2 linked regions of the Coturnix japonica genome follow. The protein of the gene in region 1 purifies or fractionates together with the protein of each later gene. This does not show direct contact. Links are inferred from orthologs where the notes say so. Each region holds a gene or a part of one and is shown on either strand. Other genes may lie near its edges. The genes, in order: SRSF11 and RNPS1.

The links.
Region 2: the proteins of SRSF11 (region 1) and RNPS1 purify together in Homo sapiens (co-immunoprecipitation; 4 studies listed by BioGRID and IntAct, with this or other methods). This does not show direct contact. The link is inferred for Coturnix japonica from reciprocal best matches to the Homo sapiens genes SRSF11 and RNPS1.

What each region holds. Positions count from the first base shown.
Region 1 is NC_029523.1:26,137,217-26,146,204, reverse strand, and holds part of SRSF11 (serine/arginine-rich splicing factor 11), read right to left. Parts: intron 8,205-8,988; coding exon 8,071-8,204; exon of another isoform or gene 4,169-8,070; coding exon of another isoform or gene 4,147-4,168; coding exon 4,037-4,146; intron 3,189-4,036; coding exon 3,096-3,188; intron 1,866-3,095; coding exon 1,816-1,865; intron 635-1,815; coding exon 507-634; intron 1-506. UniProt on the Homo sapiens protein: May function in pre-mRNA splicing.
Region 2 is NC_029529.1:12,005,958-12,015,436, reverse strand, and holds RNPS1 (RNA-binding protein with serine-rich domain 1), read left to right. Parts: upstream 1-2,488; 5' UTR 2,489-2,671; coding exon 2,672-2,673; intron 2,674-5,327; coding exon 5,328-5,483; intron 5,484-5,759; coding exon 5,760-5,951; intron 5,952-6,182; coding exon 6,183-6,285; intron 6,286-7,071; coding exon 7,072-7,225; intron 7,226-7,663; coding exon 7,664-7,805; intron 7,806-8,445; coding exon 8,446-8,551; 3' UTR 8,552-8,979; downstream 8,980-9,479. UniProt on the Homo sapiens protein: Part of pre- and post-splicing multiprotein mRNP complexes. Auxiliary component of the splicing-dependent multiprotein exon junction complex (EJC) deposited at splice junction on mRNAs.

The sequences.
Region 1 (8,988 bases):
CACGTGCAAAACTCAAGAAGTCAAAATTCAGGACATTTTTAACACAAGCCACTTAGAGAAGGGCAGCTGGGAGGCAAGGAGAAGCTGTGCTACAATCCCTTCTGCTCGGCTATGAAGGCTAAGGAACCTCTCAGATTGCTTTCAATCTGTTCCAGGTTACTTCTCAGACTGACTGGATACAACATTTGTGCATGAACTGCTGCAACACTCCGGAATTCATACCTGCAAAACTAAACCACACAAAAAAGGGGGGAAAAACAAGAGTTATTTCACAGGTCGGGACTTAAAAGACAGGAAACAATTGCCAGGAGGAAACACAATAATCTGAGGTCAAGTCTCCTTGCATCTGCAGGACAACTGCAGCACAGACAGCTGTGCCATCAATTTGTTCACACTTGTGAATTATGAATTCAGCCACCAGGGAAGATGAAATCATTAAACTCAGAGCAGGCAGAGACGATGTCAAACCACCACCGTGAATGAAGGATTCTGCGACTGAGAATTACCTGGCTCGATAGCAGCAGAAATTAACGACTGTGCTTCTCGTACTCTTTTCATAGCTTCTTCTATTTCTTTACTGGAGGTATCTGATTTCAGGCTTGGTGAAACAAGACCTGCAGCTACGTGGTTCAGCCTGGAAAATAAAAACAGCAACTGACGTATTCAGTGTGTTCATATACCCAAAACACAGAAGCCTGCACTGCCAGTTTGCAGCCTGTCCAAAAATGACTGATCCAAATGAAGCACAACCTGCCTGCAGGTTGGCACCATTCAGGTAACAGAGAAACAGGTCTGCGATGAAAAATTCTACAGCGCAGCAAGTCTGGGATGGAGGCAGTGGTAGAAAGCTCTTAAAATTCCAGTTAGCTATAAGTAATGAGTTTGTATTGTCTCGTGTGGGTTTCTGATGATGCATCTCAGTACATTTTTGTACAGCTGTATTTCAGTTCTCACCACCTGAAAGATCAGCTACAACACATTACCTGGCAGAAAATCACTTTCCACTCTATAAGCCAGATTCAGAAGCCCACAGTGATGAAAATTAAGGTTCAGAAGTTCCATCCCAGAAGTTGCTTTAAAGCCAGCCAGGTGTACCACACACAATGCATCCCTTACCTACAATGACTACTTTGTTCACCTGGTTTAAAATAAAGAATCGCATGCCAAAGTAATACTAAAACTGAGGATAGAACACGCACAGCTTTGCCCACTGGGGTAGGTTGGACAGTTTTGACTTAAGTTAAAAGCAACCCTTCCCTATTGCTGTTCACGTGCCACGTTATTTTAGAGAAAGTCATTTTTTTTCTAACCACCGAAATAAAAATCAGCAAATATTTGTGTTCATCGTTATTTGTTTTTTCTTATCAAGTAACAAATCTGCTGGCTGTTATTACTTCTGAAGCTGTAACGTGCAGCCTGTTACTATGGCCATGTATAGTAATTGCTCACCTTGGCTCACTCGCAGCCCTTAATGCTCCCAAGGGCTCTGGCTGCAAGCTGCGCTATTACATTACAGACATGGGAGTGACCAAAATTACATACATGAAACTTTCTGTCTCTAGCAACATGAAATCTCAGAGATTCACCGGTTATTTTATACATACAATCATTATTATGGTTATTCCATAGATCAGAGCAGATAATCTTAGTTTCCTGTCCTCTCTTCCCAGCAGAGCAGACAGAATCAGCAGTGACCCCCACAACATGAAGTTTCTCCAACCTTAATTAGACCCCGTAGAACAAAGATGGGATTCTGAATCACTGACATCACTCTCCAAAATAAGTGTTCAATTACTTGTAAACAACAAAACTTACTTTGGATCCACTGTGCTCATCAGTTTGAGTAGCTGATCCGCTGCAAGAGACTGGGGGGGAGAAGGGGGGGAAGGGAAGGAAAAGAAGTTAAAATCATGTTGGAAGAGGCACATGCTTCAGATGCTCAGTGTACCAGTGGCAGTAACTAAAGCAGTCTCTGTCAAGGAAAACCCCCCCAGCAAGTTACAGACAAGAAGATACACCATCCTGTTTCAGAGCCTGCAGGTGGGGGTGGGGATGAGTTGCCTGTCAGCACATTTCAGGGATGCTGAAGCATTTTATTCTTTTTCCTCCCCAGGGACCAAACAGCCTCTCCTGGACAGACTCAAAGCACTTCCCAATGAAAATGAACGTACCTCTTGTATTTACAGATTAGTTCACTGTTACTTCAAGAACAGAGACTTACTTGGACACATGCCCTTCAGAAGTTCTCAGTGTCAACTTAAAAAACAAGCAAAGTTTCTTTACTCAAAGAATTGCAGAAAGTTCTTTTTACAGCTCTTCAGTAAATCCAGATATTGCCACCTCGGGCCACCTCCTGAAGCAGCAGTATGTTAACAAAGCAAAACCTTTTGTTTCCAGCAATCTCATGCACAGAGAGGCAGCCATTGCAGTCCAACTGGCTTAATGGACACAGGAGATTTTTAAATGCTTATTTTTCCTACTTTCATCTCCATATCAGCATTGTTTGCTTTTGCTCCCACACATGGCATGCATAAATAGAATGCTGGGTGAGGAATCTCCTTAGCACTGCGATAAATTAATGCTTCTTCCATCTACAGATTAAGCCCTCCCTGCAGTATATGGCTCTTATACCTCAGACATTAACTCAGTGTTCTACTCACTATTTCTCAGTATTTGAGCTCTTCCCCCCCCCAGTTTTACAAACCTACAATCAAACCAAGTCTTGGTGTTTCCTACAAGTACACAATTAAGGAGACAACCATCACTTTTTAACTGTTGATCTGCCATAAGAGATTCAGAGGCACTTAAGGCACTCCACTGTTAGTCTCCAACTATTTGTAGGTTCTTCTGGCATTAACTGAGAAGTGCTACAGAGAGCAACTATTCTGAAGAGTGCTCAGAAAAATCAGTCACGGGATTTTTAGTCAGCTGGACTGATATAACTGAGAACTGCTCTTCACTGGAGAAGAGGGCAACAAAAATAAAGAGCAAACTCCAGATCTTCAGCTCGTTATTTAATCCAGTGCTGAAACCTAAGAACAGCACCAGTCTTACCCATCAACACGTGTGGGACAACACAGAACGCTGTGACACACCTGAGAGTTTAAGTTTGCTCCAGGAAGCCCAAGAGCAGCAAGGGCAGGATCGAGAGCAGGAGCTCCGAGAGCAGCTAAAGGAACAGCACCAATCTGTAACAAAGACAGCAATGAGCCAAAGCAACATTCAACTGACAAAAACTGTTCAGAGTCTCCAAGCGTTCTGTAAGCATTCTAAAATGAGACTCTGCCAGGAGTTACCAGGAAAACTCACTCCAAGTTTCTAAGCCAGTGACCTCACCTTCTGTAACTTCCCCCAGGTTTCAAGGCTCAGCTCTACAGCTTCTGAACAGCTCAATACATCTTTCATATAGGAATAACACGAGTTACATGCAGGAGTGCTAAGCAGAAGCTGAAGAAGCAGATCTGAGATAGATCTGAGATATGCAGAGCTAATGAAGCCAGACTCTTACTGATTTGCCTCCTGCACTTTGATTCTGAGCTCTAATAAGATGTGTTTTGAACTTATATTTTTCTGTAACACACTTTTTTTGCCATTCATTTTCCACATGATTTTCTGTGTGTTTAAAGAGCAAATACACGCTGTAACTTTTCCCCCCCCTCAGCTGTAATATTACTGAAGTTATTTCTCCACAGCTCATCAATTTCTTGGCATTCAGGAATTTAGACTCTGTCTGTAAGATCCCTCCTCCTTGTCAGATCTGTTGGTAAGCATTCAATGGAGAGAAAAGGGATCTGAGGGGAAAGGCCGTAAGTGGCACAGCAGAAGTACTCCTCCTAACAACTCACCATCCTTCCAACAAAAACTGTATCAGAGGGCTGCAACAATACTATCCATGGAGGTATCCAAAGTACAACACTCCCTGCCTCAACATCAGCATGCCAGCAGGTTCCTCTGGAAACCAACCGACCGACCAAGCAGGAAGCAACTGAGCACCCAGCATTGGGTTCCCTTCATCCAGCCCAAGCAGAAAACCTACCTGAGAAAGTGGGTTGGGAGTAGGCAGGAGTCCACCTCCAGGCAGCAGACCTGCCACAGCATTGGCTGGTGCCAAGAGAGACAAAGCCTTAGTCTCATCAGGAATGACTCCTGCAGAGAAATAGCCTGGCATTAGAACGCATTCTTTTTCTAAAGCAGAAAATACACAAATACACCCAAGAAAATGTCTCCCTGATACACCACCTGAGTTTGTTGAAAGTACTTATGTTTGCTAAAATACAAAGCTTGATGGCTATTAATATTTATCATTAATTTTTTTTTTGTCAGAATGAAACTTCAATGCGTGAAAATTTGACTGTTCCTTTTTCTCTACAAATGGTTAAGTATCTAGAGCAAAAAAAAATAGCACAATACACACTACTGTTTTGTTAACACTGCCAAGATTTCATCACCTGTACTCGATTTTTAAGTCATGAACCAAACGTAAGCAAGCACAGTCGGTTCTCCAGGGGTGTGCTCTCAACTTTCAAAAGCTGTTTTATGAACAACGACTCGTGTCGGCTGCTTCACTACAAAGCACACAGAAAAATCAAGATACACAAGACAAAAAAAGTTTGATTTAGGGGTTAATAATACGGTACAGTTCACTATGTTTTCTTTTACACCTACCATAGCAAATTTGTAAAACTTAAAGAGAAGGTACGGAAATATTTTTTTGCTGAATCAAGCGTAGGGCTTTTGCTGACTTGTCAGATAAAAACGACAGACTCTGCAGGTCTTCCAATACAAGCTGTGTGTGTCTGCATACGTACAGTACGTCGTGGCACATTCCTTACCTGTGCAGTAAAATGCTTATGTTCCGATATGTGCCATGCTTATGTACCAAGAATGCTGCTACGGAAGAAACTTCTGGCCCCAAATCTTGCAGCCAACTAAGACAAGCGTCTTATTTACTGCCTGCTCTGCACAGATAATTTGAAGGGTCCTAGCGCAAAACAAGTACTTGTGTAGGTGTTTTTTACTTCTATCCAACAGCAAAAGCCCTATACAGATGGATTAATTTGTTAATGTGCCCAAGCCCCCAAAATGAGAGTTCAATAAAACAATTTTACTAAATATTTGCAAATACCAGTAGCGTTTCTGCAATACGTATTAAGAAACTGCATCTCATCATAAAACATACAATATGTACAGGGCACTTAAGAGAAACTGGATAAGCTGCAGAAGAAAACTGTTGGGTGGTATTTTCAGCAGGGCCTGGTATATAGTTCAGGCTGAACCAGGGAAAAGAACTGTAAAACACAACAACAAAAAAGAAAAACCACTGTTAAATAAAGGTAATGGTTCCTTCCACCTATACTGAGAAGTGCCGATAATATAAACAAATGTACAACACACAGCACTGTTATCTCGCTCGTGTCATTGAGCTGCCATCAATTTAGATACCAAAAGTTATGGAGGGAGAGGAGGGGAAAAAGGTCATTTAGATAAAGGGCATTAACGCATAAATATATTAACATACCTACAGAGAGATTACGGGGTAATTTTGCATGCAAAATTATGTCTGAGAGGATATTTATCAATTACAGCTAAACATTTCAAATTAGTGCAGCTACGACATTTCCGGCAGCTAAACGCAAACCCTCACTCATCTCCAGACACCTCACAGGAGATCTGCATTCATTAAAAAAAATCATGCATCTGATGCTCTACTCGTTTCTTTAAAAGGTATTTAGAAATAAATAAACTACAAGTGAAAAAAGCAATGAGGCCCCTCACCAGTTAATTTTCATGCTTCAAGAGCTTTTTTTACTGCTGCTTTGTTAGAACCATGAAATACTGTATGAATATGTAGAAATGAAAGAAAAAGAAACAGACAAAAGAAACAAACATTAACCAAAGAACCTAAATACCCCCCCAGCCACCTTTAATCTTAGAGCTCCTTCCAAATCTAGGAATATCACAGTGAAAATTACAATGAATACTAAACCTTACCGTAGACTTTGTGTATAGCTCTATAACACAAAGCAACAGCCAACACCAAAGTGTCTGTGTGTGCTAAACCTGGAGTGCACTTGTGATATATGGGATAATTATTGCGCTAGACAGATAATAAACATTCACTTTAGCGACAGGCAATAATAAAACAGAATTATCACAGCAGAAAACAAGAGAGGTGAGGGCCCAGTTCAGCACAGTAATTAAGCATCTGCCTGACTTTAAGCACATGAACAAATTCACTGCGGTTTTAAGAATCTCGCTGTACGGTGCTTAAGTAACTTGTTGAATTGGGACCCCGGCAGCACGAAATTAGAGGTAAGGATGCTCCCATACAGGGACCAGGGGCAGAGCTTCATTGGCTGAACACGTGGCTGGGGATAGGCCACATCATTATGACAGAACTGTTCACACTCTGAATCACTGTAATACCATAAGAAACAGCCCATAAGGAACTCTGTGACTTAAACAGGCCCATTAAAATACAATGATGTCATTAACATTATCTTTAGACAATCTGAACTGAAACCACTGGGCAGAGTTTTTATGCACCAGTTTTATCCAGAATGGACAAGTCAGACTGACAAAGAATATTCTTTTAATCCTTATTGGAAAAACTAAACACTGACATCTGTCAGCATGGGCCTCGGAGAATGTTTCAGTATTGACTGATGGACTGTTACTATGTCATGCTTTAATATAAGGAGGAGAATAAGATGCCTTTCCACTACCCTGTAATAACTGCAGTAGGGAAAGGGGAAGCAGTAACTCCACATTTCTGAACGTGCTCTGTAGTCCCCCCACAGCAGCATGTCCCAGTCAAAGGTCACGCTGCAGATTCCTACCTTCCAGAAATTAAGTTTCCATATCTCTTAAACTGCAGGAATACAAAGATAAGACAGTTCCCCAGGCTTCCAAAGACATCCTTGTAGCATTATAATGTCTTAATAAAAGGTCTGAACCCAGACCACGCACCAAATTCGTTATTGTAGTATGACTTCATCTGCAGGGGTGGTACTTAATTCAAGCCATTTGGGAAAACCCATCATTTCAGAAGTAAATCAGTACAAGAAAACAGTACAATGGAAATCAATTACTTCTAAAGCAAGTCTAGAAGAGTTTAATAAGACTTCTGCAAGAAGAGGTGTCTTCTCAGCACAGTTTTTAAGTTCCAAAAACCCTGCTCATTGCCTTTCAAATTACTGTAACACCCTAAAATGTAAAAATAAAAAGAAGAAGAGAAAATGTAGTTAACAAGTGGTTACACCAGGAAAACACTTGGGGACTTGAGTGCTTGCTGGCCTTTAGTTAATGTCTAGAATCCCCTGTAGCTGCAGAGGACCCACTGTTTTTCAGTCATCAGGAAGGGCTTTGCATTTGCCTTCTCCACTACAAAAATCACACACACAAATAACAGAGAGAAGAGTTTATTATTTAGTGAAATTCTATTAAAATAAAGCATGGCTGAACAAGAAAACTTGGAATAACTGCTAGTACCAGTGCCCATCTGGCACCTCTTGGAAGAGCTCACTTTCAAATTACATCTACTGAAACCCTTGGTATACTGGAGTTCACAATGAGAGTGAATGAATGGCTTTTCAGGGAAGCTCCCCACTGAGTGCAAGGCAGCGAATATCAAAGAGGCGTTAACCTACTCTCCCGTGTGCTCTCAGGGAGGGAGAAACCATTCTCATGAAGAGATTCATGCACACGTGAATGATGTAAATGCTACTTAAGGGAAAATTTCCTTACAGCATTGACCTGTTTGCAGAGCTCCATTTAAGAAAATGTCTCACTGACATCAATAAAGAGCATAATTTGCAAGTAACTCTGCCTAAACTGCTAATATTCTAAACTTAAGAAACACAAAAGCAGTAAGAGGTAAGCTTCCCATTTTCATTCAGCATCACTAAATAAAAGCAGTACTTAATCCAAGAGCCAATTGCAATATACCAAGGGTTTTTAAATGTTAATAGTCATACGTTTGACATCTTACTAATGCTCATTTTTGTGAACTACATTGGAATAAAATGTCATCATATGCTGGCTGCATAGACCATTAAACAATTCACAAACCTTCTGCATATGGAACCACTATCAAGGCTCTGTCAACGAACACAGTGTTTGTCAGGTGCTGGGCCACAACCGCCGAGTCGGGCTCGTGGAACTTTACAAAACACACACGTGATGACACGGGCAAGGGAGAATCACTGGAAAAGAAGGAGAAATTAATGAGATGCAACAAAATCAGACGCGATGAGACGTTATGGCTCCCTGTGTTGCCTTTCACCAAACCACAAAGTCAAGAAATTACGAGTGAAGACACTCTCCTATAAAATTACAGAAATAATTCGACTGCCTTGTTTGCAACTGAAGATGAATTCCATCATGCAGGGTATAGCTACGGCCAGTTGCCTAAATGCAGATTAGTTTTCATCACTTATCTGTAAGAGAAGAAGGAGACAAATGCTTTATTCAAGGAAAACAGAGCTATCTTACGGATTATGCTAGTGAAGTTCTCAGGAATGGGAGCTGTGTACTCTCTGCTTTAGCACCCAGATTGCATTTCTGAAGTAAACTATGAAGAGGAGAATGATTAAAACATGATTATTTTACTTCTTAACACTATTTCATAAATGCTTCTAGCCCAAACTTCACTGTGCTTCTTCTTGTGGCCAAATGCATGCACAGAAACCACCCGGCTCCCTTCAGAGGGAGGTAGGCAGCTCAGAACATGCATTACTCAACAGTACCAGAACAAAGCCCAGATACAGGAATGTCATTTGGGCAATGCTACAGCTGAAATCACACTAAAGGGCCAAGAGTTCCTGGAGAACCAACCTGTACCATCAGCCTCTCAGCAAGACAGGCCCCTGCCCACTGCACAGCTCAGAGTGAGCACCTCAGCAGGACTGTGCACAAACCCTCAGCTATGGAAAATCAGAAGAGAACGTGGAAACTTTGACTCCATTTAAAGACCAGAATCATTTACCT
Region 2 (9,479 bases), on another chromosome or scaffold:
AGTCCAGCCTCACTCTCTCTCCTTCTGTTCCCCAACAGCTCCGGTTTCCATGGCGTGTGGTGGCAGCTTGCAGAACTTAGCAGCATTGCAGCCTTCCTGGAGGAGACCTGGAGTGAATCAAGGGGTTTGGTGGGGGAGGGAGGGGTCAGGGCATCTTTATGGCATACCCGGGTGAGGGGAGGAGGAATACTCAACATTGCAGTTCCACTTTAGATAGGGCAAAGAGCTTGCCCTGTGCTGAGGCCAGGTCAGGTACGTTTGTTGTTTCTTGAGAATAAACACTCCATCTTGTTTGTAGAGCTGCAGTGTTGATCTAATCAGGAATTCACTGGCAGCATCCAGCACAGCTGCTGGGGCTGGCAGGCATTGCCCTGCACCAAGAGAAAAAAGCAATGCCTAAAAACAGAAGGCAGAATCTCAAGAAGCACCAAATGATTTGGCCTGGCCAGTTTCTTTTTGACTTAGGCACTGCAATAAGTGCCTGTTTCGGGTACCTTGCAGAATGCAAAGCTATTCCAGGACCTGAGGACATCGATAGCTGGCAGCTGCCTGGCTTGACCCTTCTGGCTGAACTGAGATGGGGTTTGCACACACACTGACACCGGGGGCTGGCAGCACGTAGCTCCATCAGGGGGTGCCGGGCAGAAGCTGTTGCCTGCTGCTTCAGTTCAATATCTGCAGATTCAGAGAGGAGCCAGTGAGTGTTGGGGCTTTGGAGGGTTTTCCCTCTCCAAAGCCCTCTCCCATATGGCAGAACTTGAAAGTCAGAGAAGTTGGATGTGACCAGTGACACTGGGAGACAATGACAGAGGCTCAGTGGGGAAGAAGAGTAAACAGTAGGTAGAAATGCTTTGGGTGCTGATCTGTAACCCACTAAACCCCATCCACTGGCTTTTCAGTCCCTTCTTTGCAATGTAAAGGCTGCCCCGAAGGCCTTGCAGCGCTCCCTCATCTGCTGCGAGTGCTTAACATCCTTGTGCTTCAGTCCCTGTGATATTTAGTAATTTAGTCTGCCAGGAAAAATAGAAAAAAACACCCCTACAGATCTCACAGTTGACAGCCATTCCAGCCAGCAATGGGGGAAGGAAAAAAGCTGAAGTGGACAAATAGTGAGGATTTCCTCGGGATTCATCTAGAATGGATGCAGATGAGCAGCATAAAGGTGCTGGAAATAGCCTCTAAGCAGACAATGGCTGCCAGGGTCGCCCTGTGAGTGGTGCTGCCCTTCCAGGCAGACTCCTGGCAGCACACACAGCCTGCAGCTCCTGTAGCTCTGCCCCAGCTCACCCAGTCTTCCTAAGGCCCAACATTTAATCCTAAGGGTGGGAAGCGTGTCCTCACTGGGGCTGCAAACTCCAGCCTGAATACTTCACCTTGCCCCTCGGATGAGCACATAACCCCTCACCCAAGCAGCAAATGCCTGACATCTCTCAGCCTACAAGGGACAGGCCAGCAGCCCTGAAAGCGCTTTGCTGGAAGCAGCACGGAAGTCTCCAGCTTCAGGAGGGCAGTGCATGTTAGACTTGCTTGCGGAAGTAGCTTTAGAAGCAGCACACGCAGCAGCCTGCGCTGTAGAAGTAGCAGTAAAATGAAAAGATCCTGTGAACACAGGGAGGAGCTCAGAGATGCCTCTGCTGCAGCACATACACGGCTGAGCACAGCTCAGCACAGCTGGGTGCTGGCACAGGCTGGGGACAGCCAACAACCTCACACCTCCCATGGCCATCCAGGCACCGGCAGTTGGGTACCCTGGCCTTGCTTCAGGGTGCCTGGAAGTCTTCCCAAGGCAGCCTCCAGCAGCACGTGTCTGTGTGCACAGCAGAGTCAGCCCGTTCCTTGTATGAACCATGCGTGATCGGAGCAAAACCAATAAACACTGAGCTCTTAGTGCCTCCTGCCTGCTGGAACTGCTGACCTGAGCCTCTGTGCTTCACCTCCCCACGTCCCCTCCCACTCATTCCATGTCCCTGGTGGCACCTTGGCCGCCTCCACGCAGCCTTGGCTGCGCACAGTGCCCATGTCACCAGTGGGACGTGGTGCAGTGTCTGTCACCTCAGCCATGATGTGGAATTACCAACAGCAACAAGTACAAAACCACGACACCCCCCAAAGCAGTGGGAGCTCAAAGCTTTCCCCTCGTGCTGTGGCCCATTAAACATCATTAACTATGAGCGTAAATCCGCTTCTCCCACCCCAGTGTCATCCCCAGAAGCGCTGGCACTTGGTCTGCTGTCCCATGCAGCATCTCAGCTGAACCTCCATCTGTTGTATTCTCTGGGGGGCTGGTGGCCATTCCAAAGCTGCACCCACACCCACTGAGATCTTATTTCCTTTAAGAGCCAGTTCAGCCCTTGCTGTGCTCTGCTGGAGCAATAGGGAAAGGCTCACGTCCAGCTGCTGACACTGAGAGCCAGCTATGCATTGGGAAGGTCACCATTCGTCAGGAGCCATCACGGACATGATGAGGCGGACATGGCGGTGCCCATAACGGCACGGGCCGCCCACAGACCGTGACAGCAGGACAACATGGATCCCCTGCCCGGCCCCTTTAAGGCGCCCACCTCCCCTCCTCCCCCCTGGTGACGTCATCACTGCTCGCCACACGTTCGCTCTTCCCGCTCGTTCTGCGCCAATCGCGCGCGCCGGGCCCGGAGCGCTGAGAGCGCCGAGGATGTGAGTGTGTTGGGGCTGAGCGCCGTGCGGCCATCGGCCGCCATCGGCCTTTCATCCGCCTCCATCCGCCTCCATCCGCCCCGCCGCCGCTTCGGGGCGGCACCGCCGCATCTCGGGGCTGCCCAGGGGAGCGGGCGGGAGCCGACGGAGGGGATATGGATGGACGCGGGGGATAGGGATGGCGCCGCGGCCTACCGGGGGCGGGGAGGAAGGCGGGAGGCCGGGCCGGGGCGGAGCCGGGGCTGAGGCCTGCAGCGGAGTTGGGGCCTGGTGGTCCCGGCGCCCGGCAGCGGCAGAGCAGCGAGTCGGGAGCGACCCGCGGGTCTCGCTGTGCCCGGCGTCGTTCCGCAGCCTGAGAGCGGCTGAGCCCCGGCCGCTCTGGGCCCCGCGCTGCCATGAGCTGGGCCGGGGGCGTTGAGAGGAGCTGCCGAGCGGGCTGACCTTAAATCACGCGAGGAAAACTTTGCTATAGTTGTTGTTCATATAACTATAAACAAGCTGCCGTTGCAGGGCGCGCCTGCCCTGCAGGAAGGCTGAGGGAGAGCCCAGGTCGTTGCCTTGGCTGCAGCTCTCTGTAAGAATAGGTCTCATAGCTGACTGTGTGCAGGGAATGGGCAGCTTAATAGAGTGCCCCGAGGCCGGCTGGGCTGGGCTGGGTGCTGCACAGACACTGAGATGTTGGGGATGTCGGGTTTGGTTTCCATTCTTGGAAGGGTGGATGTTGCTTAGAAGTTCCTTGTGTTGTTTTAATGTGCTCATGCTGCGGTGTTATTCTTTATGGAGGTGTGTTTTAGTGAATGCCTGAGCACCTACAAGTGAAAGTGCCCAGAGGCTGCATCTCCCAGGCTGATCTTTCCAACTAAAACTGTCCTGGGAAAGGTCTGTGTTCATTGGGTGAAAGAAGAACACTGGTTACCTTAAGGGCTGCCTAAAAGCAGCCTTTCACAGGAGGTTGCTGGATGTGTAAGCAGCATTTGGCTGTTTAGTCTGGTAAGTGCCAGCCCTGTGGGTGCACACAGGAGTGCTGCTGATGGTGCTGTTTACATGCAGCTCTTCCCAGCTCTCCAGCAGCAGGCAGGACATTAGCAAAGCACTTGTTGGGCTTCTGAGCTCTCACTTCCCATCTTGCAGAGAGGTGGAACTGGGTGATCATTAGAGTATGTGATAGATGCAGCCCTCTCATAGGAAATGTTTGGAATTGAGCTGTCAGAGTTCAGGTTTTACATGTAAACAGTTAATAGTTACACATGCAGCACACTGGCACACACGTTCATTCTCTTCCAATAACTCATTAATGTATGTTCGTGTTCCTCTGGGCATGCACAGTTACACTGAGGGTGGTTGCTGGTTGTATGCCCACTTACTTTGTCCCCATTTTTCCACCATCAGTTCCATCACTGACATTTTTGATTCACCTGGAGCTGGTTTTCCCCAATTTTGCAAACGTCCATTGCTTCTTAGGCCATAATGGGCAACTTCCAAAACAACGTGTGTGGAAATCCAAGGAAAGCGTCCTTGCCCCTGGTGAAATACAATGACCAGTGGTCTGTCGTGACTCCAGTGCTGCTTATGAAGGGGAATTGAGAGAAAACAAGGCTGATCACACACCAGGCAAAGCAGAAGTGGAGAGTTTTAGGACTAGTGCTCATTGATTCCTTTTGCTGAATTAATATATTGCTCCTCAAACTAATATACTGATCTCTGTTGCTCAATGAACCAGCCTATATTGTTACTCAGCAGCCATCTCTTCCTGCCAAGCATGTGCTTTGCTGCACAGGGTGACTATGGAAGAAACCAGAGCTTCCTCTGGAGATGAGGATGTTGTCAAGAGGCAGGAGCTGCATGTGTGCCGTGTGTAGGAGATGAATGTCCTCTGTGTGCCTTCAAGGGGAGCACATAGCGAGGGTCTTTTGTACTTCTGTGAATATCACAATTTGTAACTTTAAACACGCATACAGGTCTGTATTCCATGAAGGTTGAGCTGGCCCAGGGGCTGGATGTAACTGCCATGCAGTGCTGTGCCTGGCTGCAGTGCCCTGGAGAACACACTTGTCCTCTGGTGTGCTGCCACTGGTGCACAGCAGCTCTGCTCTTCTGTGTCTGTTCATCTTGTTTCTGAACACTCTTACCTTGTCACTTGGCTGCTCTGTTGCTTTCAATTAGGGGTCACTTCTCAGAAGCAAGGGGTTAGAACTGAGATTTGGCACAAGTGAGGCCTGTTTTGCTTTGGATACCTCTGAAGGGGAAACAGAGTTAATGGGAATTAAAAAGAAGAGTTTGCTGGGTCTTAAAGAAAATAACAAAAAATCCAGCACTAGGTAATCATTCCAGATTTTCAAGGCCTGCTGGAAGCGGGGATGCTGTAGGGTACTGGGGCTTTCCCAGTGAGGGTAAGGAGTTGAAAATATCTCTGTGGGTGAACTTACACATGACAGTAAGTTCTGTGTGCTGGACCTGCTGTCCGCAAAGCTGCTACTCTGCAATGTAACACATTTTCCTTTTTCCTAAAAAGCTCGAACTTACCTAATGCTTTAACTCTGCTCTTTTGGTGTCTTCAATTACATTTAAAGTTCAGTGTTTTGTGTTGCTGTTCTGTTCCTTGTTTGAGTGTGTTTTCCATATTAAACAATCCCTTCTGCCATGTATTCTTGAAGGGCTCCCTCACCAACCAAACGCAAGGATAGGTCTGAAGAGAAATCAAAGGACCGATCCAAGGACAAAGCAGCCACTAAGGAATCGGGTGAAAAGGATCGTGGTCGGGACAAGACGCGCAAAAGGCGCAGTGCTTCCAGTGGGAGTAGCAGCACCAGGTAGCTACCATTACAGGCAGTAACAAATACATGTTTTCAGAGCCACCTTTTGCTGACTTCCACACGGCTCAGATTTACACAACCTTTGAATTGCATTGGTCACAATGGAAAGATTAAAGGAAGGGGTTTTGACCGTTGTGAAGTATGGTGGAATTAGTGAGCTATGGAGAGTCGGTTTTCATTGCTGTAACTTGCAGTTGCTTTCTGTCTACCAGGAGAAGAGCTTCAGCCATTCTTTTTCTGGGTATTCCACTCATGTTTTGCTTCCTTTACCAGGTCCCGCTCCAGCTCCACTTCCAGCTCAGGATCCAGTTCCAGCACTGGTTCCAGCAGTGGCTCGAGCTCCTCTTCTGCCTCAAGCCGCTCTGGGAGCTCCAGCACCTCACGCAGTTCAAGTTCCAGCAGCTCCTCTGGATCCCCCAGTCCGTCCCGACGGAGACATGACAACAGGAGGCGGTCCCGCTCCAAGTGAGTTCATGTTGTCTTTAGGAATTCCTACAGAGCAGGTTCCTTGTGCAATACAAGGTTGTGATCAAACAGATTTTTACCAAGGATGGTCTGCATTCTCCGTAACTTAGAGATGTGAATTTTGTTAGAACAGGCATGTTTCTATTAATGGCAGTCAAAATGGATGCCAGCTTCTAGTTCTTGTCGTCTTGTTTCCCCTGAAAACTGTGAATGTTTTCATGTCCAAATCAGGTCCAAGCCACCGAAGAGAGATGAAAAGGAGCGGAAGCGGCGCAGCCCATCACCCAGACCTACAAAAGTGCACGTTGGGAGGCTCACTAGAAACGTCACCAAGGTAATGGCATGTTCTCCTGTAATGCCACGCAGGTGCACCCCTGTGGGCGTGTGTTGGTGGCTTTTTTTAAAGCCTTCAAGGTTTGTTTTGTTGCTGGTGTACTGCCAGCACATTGCTGTTGGAAATGCTTGCTTTGTGTCCAAACTGATGAGCGTGGAATGCTTCAGTAGAACTTCCTCAAGTCAAATTAACTGTGGGCTTGTGTAATTCAGTAGTGTTAAAAGTTCTGTCTGCCTTATTGGTACCCGAGAGCTCCACCTTCCTAGGAAGAAAGCTGTAGAAGTCAGTACAGCAGTAGAAATCACCTGGGAGGCATTAAGGACACCTGGGGGGTTCACCAAAAGGAGCTTCAGGAGAGCTGGACTGGCTGGAGTTGTCTTTGCTAGAATGTAGTTTAAAGGTCTGCAGAAATACAAGTTTAGGGTGCTGAAAAAATGCTATTTAAAAACACAATATTAAGAATTGCACCTTAAGACTTTCTAAGTGAGGACACAACTTCACTTTCCTAAGGTCCCCAGGAAGGTTTTTACACTAGTGCAGCTTTTGTAGCCTGTGGTGGTGTTCAGCCAGTAATTCTGTTAAGGATTAGAGTGATCTGAAGTGAAACAGACATAGATGTCAGTAGAGGATGTGGTAATCTCAGTGTCCTTTCCACACCTGATCAGTGGAATATATCTCCTGCAGGTGGCATTGATTCAAAGCTGATGTGGTGCTGTGTGCTCTGTACCAGCCAGAGCTGCTCAGTGATAGTGCTGTACATCCTTAAGTTCTGCTCTTTTTTGGCAGGATCACATCATGGAAATTTTTTCCACTTATGGAAAGATTAAAATGATTGACATGCCAGTTGACAGGCTAAATCCACACCTCTCTAAAGGCTACGCTTATGTGGAGTTTGAGAACCCAGATGATGCTGAGAAAGCCCTGAAACACATGGATGGAGGTAGGTGTCAAATGCTGCAAGGAGGCTGAGTGCTTTGAAAGAAGTTTTTGGATTTGATGTGAAAATGAGATGGAGATGATGGGCTGCCTTTTGGGGAACTGATCTGACGTGCTGTCATTCTGTTTTCAGCCCAGAGGGGCTTTTGTATGGTCTCAGGACAGGTTGAAAAGAAAATACAGAACTATTAAAATGATAGTTTTGTTTTTTTTTTCCAAACAAAATATCATTTAAATCTTTGTGAAAATCCTTCCTGATCCATGTCTGGTGGGATACTTGGTGAAGAAGTCTGGTGTGTGTGTGGTTTGGTCAGTATAACTTCAGAGTGTAGTGGAAATAGGAGCACGGGGTCGTGCTGCTTGTGTCAGAGCTGTGAATCGCTGTCACTTGGTTTGTTGGTGCTGGCAAACACTAACTTTATTTTTGTGACTTTCTGAACAGGGCAGATCGATGGGCAGGAGATCACTGCCACAGCTGTACTGGCACCACGGCCCAGACCGCCGCCTCGGCGCTTCAGCCCCCCCAGGAGGATGCTGCCCCCACCCCCCATGTGGCGCAGGTCACCCCCTCGCATGAGGAGAAGGTGAGAGCTGTGGCATTTCTTATTTCCTTCTTGTTGTAACAAGAATTTGTCATGAAGTCCCAGTGCCAGGACAGCTTCGTCTCATTGGAGTTGATTGTCCACTCCAAATGACAGTTCAAAACAAAGCAGTCACCTTCTGGGTGTCAGTTGAACTCAGATTGTTCTTAATATTCCATTCCTGGGACCTTGGTGTCACACTGGTGGCTGTACAGACTAATTGTAGCACTTTATCTTTAGAGCTGAGCTTCCTGTGAGAAGTGTCTGTGGTGCTGTGTGAGCTGTGTCAATACTGAACAATATTTCAGGAGCCAAAGTCTCAGATGAACCTTTCAGATCGAGGAGAGTCTGACTTAGAACAAACTTGTTTGTTTTGTGTGAAGCAGAAAATAAGATTCTTGTCTATTCTTTGGATATGAAGCAGCCTTTCAAGCTGTGAAGCAGAGGGTGGTAGCTAGAAAATCCCTGCTGGGATCTTGCTGTTTAAGTTGCCCTTTTGCTTCCTGCGGTTTGCTGTCTGTCGGATCTTTCACAGTGGTTTATAAGGGGGCGAAAGGAATCAATGAGCAGAGGTGGCAGGTGAGGTGACCTTCCTGGAGCTGCTCCCTGTGCCCTGACAGGAACTTTCTCCTCCTCCTGCCAGGTCTCGCTCCCCGCGCCGCAGGTCTCCTGTTCGCCGGCGCTCGCGGTCCAGGTCTCCGGGACGAAGGCGCCACCGCAGCCGCTCCAGCTCCAACTCGTCACGATAAAGCAAAAAAAGAATGGACAGCTTTTTATTTTTTAACTTAAATTCCGCGAAAATAAATATTGTACCTTTTTTATAATGGGTCTAGGAGAGGAAGGGAGAGAGGGGGAGAGAGAGGATGCAGTGGAGGTAACAGAGAGGAGACGGCAGCAGCTCCCGGCCATTGGGCAGCCTCTGCTGCGGGGCTTGGAAGTTTCCTGGCATTGAATTGGCATTATTGACAAACAGCCTCGATTTTTATGTTTTAGTTTTGTTTTTTCCCGGCTATAAACCCACCGTGTCCTGTGCTGGTTGTGCGGGGCTGCTCTGGCCCCTTTGTCCAGTGAGTTCACAATGCTTTGTGTGCTGTAAGGGTGAGCGTATCGATCTCGAGCTGTTTGGAAACGCTGCAGAACGGGACAGGGAGCCTCAGGGCTGGGACTGAGCGGCTCGAACAGATCACAAACCTGATCACAGACCTGATCCTTGAGCTGCTGCTTTATTCCCAGTCCCAAATAATGAGTCGTTTGTGCCCATTGATGTCCTGCAGTGCTCCTGGTTGATGCTGCACCCTGCTGAACGCTGCGAATCTTACCAGCGGGTTTGTAGCTGCTGCCCCACTCGGTCCCATAAGGAAACAATGCGATTGTTCTGCTTTACAAATCCCATTAGCAACTGATGGGCAACCACTGCAAGGCAGAGGGGGGGCTTGAGGCCGTGCTGCTGCCTGGGGAAAGGCAGAGAACCAACCACCTGTTGTACAGTCGATCCTATAAAGTCTTTTTGTTGTTTTTTCTTTATTTTCGTGTCGTTTTGTATGACTTTGTAGCCTTCGGGGCCGCGTTGTGTTTGTACTTGTGTAGGACGAGCGACTCGAATAAAGCAGTAGGGTTGAGAAATCGGGGCTCCTGCGCCTTTAAGAGCACAGTGGGCGGGGCTTCTTGCGGCTCCGC